Coturnix japonica: one gene and its partner. The protein of the gene in region 1 interacts with the protein of each later gene in a biochemical or structural test. Links are inferred from orthologs where the notes say so. Each region holds a gene or a part of one and is shown in the gene's direction. Other genes may lie near its edges. The genes, in order: KIT and PTPN11.

What was found.
Region 2: the proteins of KIT (region 1) and PTPN11 form a complex in vitro, tested with the Homo sapiens proteins (3 studies listed by BioGRID and IntAct, with this or other methods). The link is inferred for Coturnix japonica from reciprocal best matches to the Homo sapiens genes KIT and PTPN11.

Annotation. Positions count from the first base shown.
Region 1 is NC_029519.1:58,930,435-58,934,701, reverse strand, and holds the start of KIT (mast/stem cell growth factor receptor Kit), read left to right. Parts: upstream 1-1,170; 5' UTR 1,171-1,278; coding exon 1,279-1,345; intron 1,346-4,267. UniProt on the Homo sapiens protein: Tyrosine-protein kinase that acts as a cell-surface receptor for the cytokine KITLG/SCF and plays an essential role in the regulation of cell survival and proliferation, hematopoiesis, stem cell maintenance, gametogenesis, mast cell development, migration and function, and in melanogenesis.
Region 2 is NC_029530.1:5,551,172-5,554,981, forward strand, and holds part of PTPN11 (tyrosine-protein phosphatase non-receptor type 11), read left to right. Parts: intron 1-1,797; coding exon 1,798-1,894; intron 1,895-2,460; coding exon 2,461-2,540; intron 2,541-2,664; coding exon 2,665-2,823; intron 2,824-3,810. UniProt on the Homo sapiens protein: Acts downstream of various receptor and cytoplasmic protein tyrosine kinases to participate in the signal transduction from the cell surface to the nucleus. Positively regulates MAPK signal transduction pathway. Dephosphorylates GAB1, ARHGAP35 and EGFR.

The DNA of each region.
Region 1 (4,267 bases):
AGCCATTTTAAACATATAAGACAAGACTTTCATCTAATGGGGGACCATATGGGACTATGCTATTAACCTTGAAAAAAATCTGACAATAGTGAAAAAGGAAAGAAGTTGAGAAACAACACACACACACACACAAAAAGGGAATAATTTACCTTCAGTAACTTTTCTGATCTGTACTGCCATGTTTCACAACATCTACATCTATGTTTTTCCATGGGTAAAGGCTGTGTCATGTGTCCACTCCATCTTTCTGTACGGTGGGAGCTGCTGCCAGGTGTGACAGCCTGCATGATCCATCCCCACTTGTGTTTGCACACACCTGGGCAGCACACACCACATGTGTGGCACTGACAGACACAGCAGAGCCAAGGCATTAGTTGCTGCAATTTGTACGGTTTCTGCCTGCAGAGCTCTGCCTCTCTAGCTGCATATGCAAGTGCTACTGGATCCTCCCTGTCAGTTGTCTCACCCGTACTTAAAAAACTCCCTCTGCGGGTTTCCACCACCTCCTCTGCTCAATTTGTAGACTAAATTCGCCCTACTCTTTGCAAGTGCTTTCCTAACATTTAAGCTATTCCTTTTTCTTTTTGCCGAGAACTAAATGGATTACTTTTATCTTGCCCTTGAGGGACGTGAAAAACAATTGCTCGCAATCCTCTCTGTAAGAACCTTTTCCACGTTTAAGCTCCCTGTCAGCTTTCTCTTTTCAATACCAGTTCTTTCCATCTTTCCTTTTGTGTCGCAGGACATGCCCTGCATCTCACTTTTATACTCTGCCCGATGCATAGCGCCGGGTCAGCTCCATGCGGGTCCAATTCGCGATCCCCGCCGGGCAGAAGCACCGTCCACTGAGGCTCTGAGTGCGACACAAAGCGCTCTGCACCCACCTTTCGGGGGATGCATCCTTCTCCCCCGAGCCGTGCGCCCACCCCCACGCACCACGAAGCCTCCTCCCTTCCTTAAATATTATTTTATTTGGGTGAGCGGGTGTGCGCGCTGCTGGTTGGGGGGGAGGTAGGATTAGGCTCGCTCTTTTCACCGCCCCCTTCGCCACCCCCTCGAGGGGCAGCTCCTCACCTGCGCCCATCCCGGCGCTGCGGGGCGGGGGCCGCTCGGCGCGGCGCGGGGCGGGCAGCGGAGGCGGGGCCGCTGTTGGCGGCGGGGCCGGCAGTATTCCGTACTCCGTATTCCGTACTCCGCAGCCTCCCGCGGGGTTCGGGCATCTCTGCGCGCCGGGTGGTGCGAGCGGCAGCCGCGGAGCGGCGGGCTCGGGGGGGCGGCATGGAGGGCGCGCACCTCGCCTGGGAGCTGGCGCACGCCGTGCTGCTGCTGAGCCTCATCCCCGCAGGTGGGAGCCGCGGGCGGGCGCGGGGCAGCGGGGCCGGGGGAGGCTGCAGGGAGCGGTAGCGGGGCCGGGGGGAGGCAGCCGGTTTGGCTGGACGCGAGAAAAAGAAAAGCAAAAAAGAAAGTCCTTTGTTTGTGCGGCGCGGGGCTGGGAGGGGGGCCGGGAAGGTGCACACCCCCTGCTCTCCGAGCTGGGCTGTTTTGACAATAAACTCTCTCTTCATCGGTACAAAATGTCCCCGTGGTGAAGTGCTGCTGGAACAATAGGCGGGGGGCGGCCGCCGCCGTCAGGTGTCCGCGCTGCCCGGCGGGGCCGGAGCGCGCCCGGGTCGGAGCGGAGCCGCGTCGTTTCATTACAGCCGCCTCCAGGAGAAGGGTCCCCTGTCCCTTCAAGGGCACTGCGGACAAAAAGTTTGGTGTGTCTCTTGATGGACTCGGGGTTCCCTTCCCTGCAAGCCGGAGATTCCCGTTCCTGAGTTTCTTAAGTGCAACACAGAGCTGCGGCGCTGGATGGGTTCGCACATGGCTTTTGGAGCGGCCGTGCTGCTTACAGCACAGTGGCGCCCGAGGAGCACACGCAGCGCGGAGGGCGCGCAAGGTGTATTTCTGAGCTGTCAGCTCAGCGAGTGCTGGGGAGGTGCGGAGGGATGCCGGGCGCCGGGAGCCCACAGCGTCTGGCTTTGGTGTGAGCGCTTTGCCTGTGACGCGAGGCAGTCGTGGAGCTATCAGCGTTTCTGTGAATATTTTGTTTGGGTGATGTTCCTGTTTTGCTTCCCTTTGTTGATGCTCGCAGGTAGAGCGTGATTGCTGACGGTTAGAGCTTTCCTGTTCAGAGTATCCACACGCATCCGCACACACAGCACAGCAAAGGAAACACCCATCAGGGGGCTATTCCTTGACATTTGTCTCTGGAATGGGTTGCATTCATTCATTAATACCCACAAACTTTCCTTACTTCGAGTACTTGAGCATGAAGGTTTCCCTTCCTCTCTCGGTTGCCAGCTGGCATGAAAACTTGGGCAACTGTCAGTGTCCTAGAAGTCATGGGAGTACGTTGGGCAAGGAGAGACTTTCCTCTCCATCCTTCCTCTGGTTCTGGGTCTTTTGTGGTTTTGTAATTCTTGTTGTCGGGATTCCACATCAGAACATCATACAGAACAGTGGCAGTTAAAAGAGTTCATGTTCTGGTTCCGTGTTACATTTTGGGGCATTTTGGGTTCCCGGAGGGGAGGGGAGGGGCGGCATCCCCGGAGGACTTGGCACAAAGTGGAAGTGGGGTGGGACTCCGGACCGGACCCCAGCCGCTCTCTGCCTCTGGCCGTCTCAGCTCGCCGCGGAGAAAAGCACGTGCTTCCCTCGCACTGTCGTGGTTTGACTCGTACTTTGGGGACTTAAGTCTCTCTCGTTTTGTCTGATTTGGTTTCATTTAGTCAATCACCGTTCCTCCTCAGATCGTTGCCATTGTGTTTTCTCTTTGTTAAAACTATCTGCTGGCTCTCTGCCCTTCCCCCTCTCCCGGATCGGGTGGCTCGGGGCGACCGGGTCACAAGGCAAACTCTTTCCTTTTTTTCTTCGTTCCTTTGTCTCCTCTTTTTTATCCTTTTCCCCCCCTATTTCCCGGTCCTGTGCCCCCTTGTCATGGACTTACATCTAGAGATAACCCCGTGACAGGGTCAGACTTGTACCTGTGGGAGATGTGCCACCTCGCAGCCACATAAGACTAAGTGGTGTAGACAAAAATACACGGTGATGCAGGTGGAGGGACTTGCAGAAGACAGGTGCTTCTGGGTAGATGTGTGTAACACCTGTTTATCACACAGGTGTAGGATATTAGAACTAGCTTTGAGCTGCAGGAAGCATCACAGCGGATGCTTGTGTCCTGTTGAGGGGACACCAGAGGTGACAGGGAGGGCAGAGCTGTGGGACTGCTCCTGTATGTCCTTGCAGACACTTGGACTGGGTGAGCTCTCTGTCGTGTTGTTTACTCGTATGCAAACTTATATTAAGTATCTTTTCTTGGCTTTTAGTCAAGAGCTTCTTCTTTTGGTTGCAGATAGGAAAGGAGGATGTAGAAAACAAAGCTTTAAGTAACTTCTCAGAGAGTAAACCATTCATCTCTTCTATCCACAGCTCCTTCCTATTTTTTGTTTTCCTTGCATTTGCTTCCACCTTTCCTTCCATCTGGGGCTGCAGTTTTCTGTAATGATCTCTTCTATGTTCCTCTCCTGTCCCCTTAGGGCTCTCCCTGTCCCCAGTGCTCCACCAGAGGCTGTGCGGTGTTTCCATCCTATGGCCATGGAAGGCTGGGCAAGGTTCCTTTCAGCATCCATCAATCTCCCCTTTTGGCAGTCAGCTGCAGAGTAACAGGAGGCTCTCTTTGCCCAGAGGGAAGAATGTCTGTTTCCATAATGCTTCCCATACCTGGCAGCTGGGAGGGAGGACTGATGGAGGAAGATGGAACCTGGTGTGGGTTCATATGCTGTCGCTTAGTCACTACCCTGACCCCTCAGATCATCCAAATATCCTGCCCTCCCTGCTCCCCCATTTCTTTCTTCCTCCCTCTCCTGCATATAAATGTGGCCTAAGGCCACTGCCAAGAGCAGAATGGCGATTTCAAGGATTGCTCAATACTTGACTCTTTTCCTTCCGTTACAACCCGGAACCTCCAAGCAAGTGCCTAATTGATTTTCTCTTAAGGCTTCATGACAAAGGGTGTGTTAAATTTGGCAAGGATTGAGGCACATGTCCAGTCGAAGTACCATTTGCAGGGACTGAAGGCATTCCCTGTGCTTTGTTTGAAGGTAGAGCTTGCTGCCAGATGTGTGCAGCTGTGTAGTGCTTGGGTAACGCTGGCTCACCATGGGCTTTCCACCAGAAACTGATTGATTGTTGCCTTCTGGAATAACAGCGCTGCTTTGCAGGTGTG
Region 2 (3,810 bases), on another chromosome or scaffold:
GATTGAAGAATGTGCCTCTTGTCCTGTTAAGTGTCAGACAGAAATGTTGACAGTCTTTGTAACACTTCTGGAAAGTGACTGGGGAGCTTTGTGTTTGAATGGCACAGAGAAAGTGAGGACTCCTGTACCAGATTTATTGTTGCATTGTGTACCTCTTGTAGCCAGCTTGCTAGAAGTCTTTGCTGCTCGTGGATCTTTCCTCAGGGATGCTCAAAGCAGTAACCATTAAATGTGTGAAGTAAAGGTGTTTGAAGCTTGTTTCAACACAATTATTTCCATGTTTTAACCTGCTAGCAAAGTTCAGCTTTTGGTTCTTTGCTTGGCGTTTCACTTTGCAGAGACTCAAAAGTGTTAATATTATATAAAGGCACTCTGTAATAATGGCAGTTAAAAGATTTTTGCATTATGGCAAGAGTTGGGCTTAATGCAGACAAGACATGCTTTATGGGTATACACATTCTGTGCTTTATGTATGTGAAACCTCACAGCTCTGTTTTGCTTTTGTTCTTTGGATTCCCTGTCTTTAGGATGAGCTTAACTGTCCAAGGTCACTAAGTGAGGTGGGAATGATAACACAGACTGAAATAGAAGTGAGCAAATGTGCCTGACATGCCTGAACTTTGAAGTAAAAGTAATCTGTGGAGGAATATTAAGGTGATCTTAGTGAAGAGAGCAGCTTTCAAAGGCAGAGTGTTTCTTTTAGTCAGACCAAAACTGCTTTTGAGATTAAAACTTGGAGCAAAATCACTGAGGTCGTTGTCCCCTTTGCTTCATTGCAAGTACGTGGATTTACTACTAAGCAGTGCTGCTATGAGGTATGGAATTACTGTTGTCCCTGTCATTATTAATTGGGAACCAGACACTGAGAAATTAGGGCCTTGCCAACGGGAAAAATCCCCATGCAGATTTATTGCTTCTGCACTAGGATGATTTATGGATAACCATGTAGGTAGTTACCTAACACCTCCCCAATCCACCAGCATGGTAATGTGAGGAATCTGAGAAAAATATGTTTGGCTGTACAGGCTTAGTGAGATGTTCTTGTGTCAATGGGAGAAAGGGAGTCACGTTTTGCTCCTGGGTGTATTGACCCATTCCTATTTGTCAGCCAGTTTTGTAGCAGCTGTGTCTGTGAAAAGGATTCACTCAGAGGGTTAATTACCTTTTCTATGAAAAGTAAGGCACAAATTACAAAGTACTGTTGTTGCACTCAGTGCTAATTTGCTTTCTGGCTTTCGAATGCCATATGTGCGTTTTGAATATTCTTATCCTATTGTGGTTTGAAGGGAATAGGAAAGAATATCTTAATATTATGCTTCTAACAGCTGAAGGTCTTCTCACTTTCCTTGAAGCTGAGACAGCTGCTTATGTTGGTGTGCTTTGGTGGGTTTTCTGTAAGCTCCTTCTTCCCCTTTGGCTGCCTGGAGATTATCTGGCTGCAGCCTGCAAGGATCTCAGGGATGTGGTTTAGGGGCTTTCCAGCGGCACTGCTTTGGATTGGCAATAGCTGAAGGAGGGGAATAAAGCTAGTAAGGCCTAGAGGAATCCAGTACAGCTCAGGTAGAGAATCTTGACACCTGTGTTCTGTTTGTGTCAGTGCCTTTTCATACTTTGAAAGCAATACTGTATGTAGCCTGAATGGAGTAAACCAGCGATTCTCTGACTGTTGATTGTTATTATAATCAAGTGTCCTCATTTGAATGAGGGACGGATCTCTATAGTGATGAAACATTATAACAGGTCTTTGTCTTTTTTGTGCTTTTACTGACACCAGTTATTCGTGCTGTTTTTGTGCAGACTTTACAGCAGCAAGAATGCAAACTCCTCTATAGCCGTAAAGAAGGTCAGCGACAAGAAAACAAAAACAAAAATAGATACAAAAACATTTTACCCTGTAAGTACTGATTTCTTGTGTAAGCCTATTACTTTTGTGCTTTATTATTTTAGCTGGAAAAGACTGGGTTAATTTAACATTGTGCTTTTTCTTCTCTTTAGTGGTAAGTCCTTCTTTTATGTTGTCAGTATTAGTCCATATAGCTTCCAGTCTGTGTTCAAACATTTACTCATTATAGTTGCAGATATTTTGATTCTGTAATGTTTATCTGCAGCGTTCACTTAACAGTTTAGGGATATGATGCTTTCATTTGGCAAACTGAAATGCTTACAGTTAAGAGGATTAATTTGTGGTACAGAACTGAGTAGTGCAAATCCAGCAGTGTTTGAGACCATTTGCGTTGATTCAGATAAACACTTGTTTTGTGATCTATGTTGTTATGGATTGGAAACTTGTTTTAAGTAACAGAAAAAGGGATGGGTGTTCTAGCAGTGATTTGCAGAGTTTCACAATGTAGCACTTTCTGATAACAGGAAGAATTGTACCTGTTGGTTGAATGTTTAAAAATAGCTGTATGCTCACAATTGTAGGATGCAACTGCTTAATGTATAAATATATTCTTCCAGTTGATCATACCAGAGTTGTTCTGCATGATGGTGATCCAAATGAACCTGTTTCAGACTATATCAATGCTAATATTATTATGGTAAGTATGCCCCACCTAAATGAGTCTTGCAGGCACAACCTATGCCTACTTACTCTTTTAAATCCAAGTTGGTCTTCTAAAAATGAGCATTTGTCTCCATTTCTTAAATTGTTTTTGTCTCTAGCCTGAGTTTGAAACCAAGTGCAACAACACAAAGCCAAAAAAAAGCTACATTGCTACTCAAGGTTGCCTGCAGAATACAGTGAATGATTTTTGGAGGATGGTGTTTCAGGAGAATTCTCGAGTTATTGTTATGACAACAAAAGAAGTTGAAAGAGGAAAGGTAAAAACAATATTATACTGGTCTCTGGAGCAGTCATAACATTTGTGTGCAAGTGGGATCTAAACTGACTTGGTTATATTGACTCACATGCTGAAATGCAGTGTGCCATCATGGTCTTTGGATACTTGCAGCTTAATTCTGTAAGGTATTGAATGTTCTTAATTGATGCCTGTGGGAATTGAGGATGCACTCCTATTGCATCACAAGACCTCCCTTTTGTAAGGGTTGTCTGATTAAATTCTAGCTACTGAATGTGAATCATTGCATTGTGAGAATACTCAGGGAATGAGACACTGGAAAGCTGGGTGCTGCAGTCAAATATTCTGCCTATTTGAAAAGGGATAAATTCCCTGTTCATAAAAGTTGAATACTTTTTTTTTTTTTTTTTTTTGCTGTGTGCTCTGGCTGTGTACAATGCTTTTATGTCTGGTTACTTAATCAGCGATAGGGAAAGAATGGCAAAAGTAACAACAGCAAAGCATCTTATGCTGTATCTTTTATTGGCAGAAGAAGCTTCCCTTGTTCCCATATATTCTTGTAAATCTGCACTAGGTGCTGTTAATAAGAAATATTTTTCTATGGTATTTGGTGCTTGGTCTGTTTGCTGTTGCTGGAAGCTGCATCTGTCTTCCCCACTATATTTCTCATCTAATTTTGTGTTAGCCTTCACGAGGCTAACAGGAGCTGTTGTTGCAGGAACCAAATTAAAGAAGTAATAGGTTAAGCCACCCTTCAGTGTGTAGAATACATCCCTGGCCAAAGATAACCTTGAGAGAGAAGCAGCATGCTGAAAGCTCTAAATGTCGAAGCCTACAGATGCATCAGGCCGTCTGTCAAAGGGAGCAGTTCTGTGTTGCTTTGGTGATTGAATTAGAGCTATGTTAGCCCGTTTTTTCCCTGATTCTAAGCAATGAAAAAGCGAATGTCCAAGCTGCATTCCTGTTAAAAATGATTTATATCTTTGACTTGCGTTTGTTTTGCAGCCTG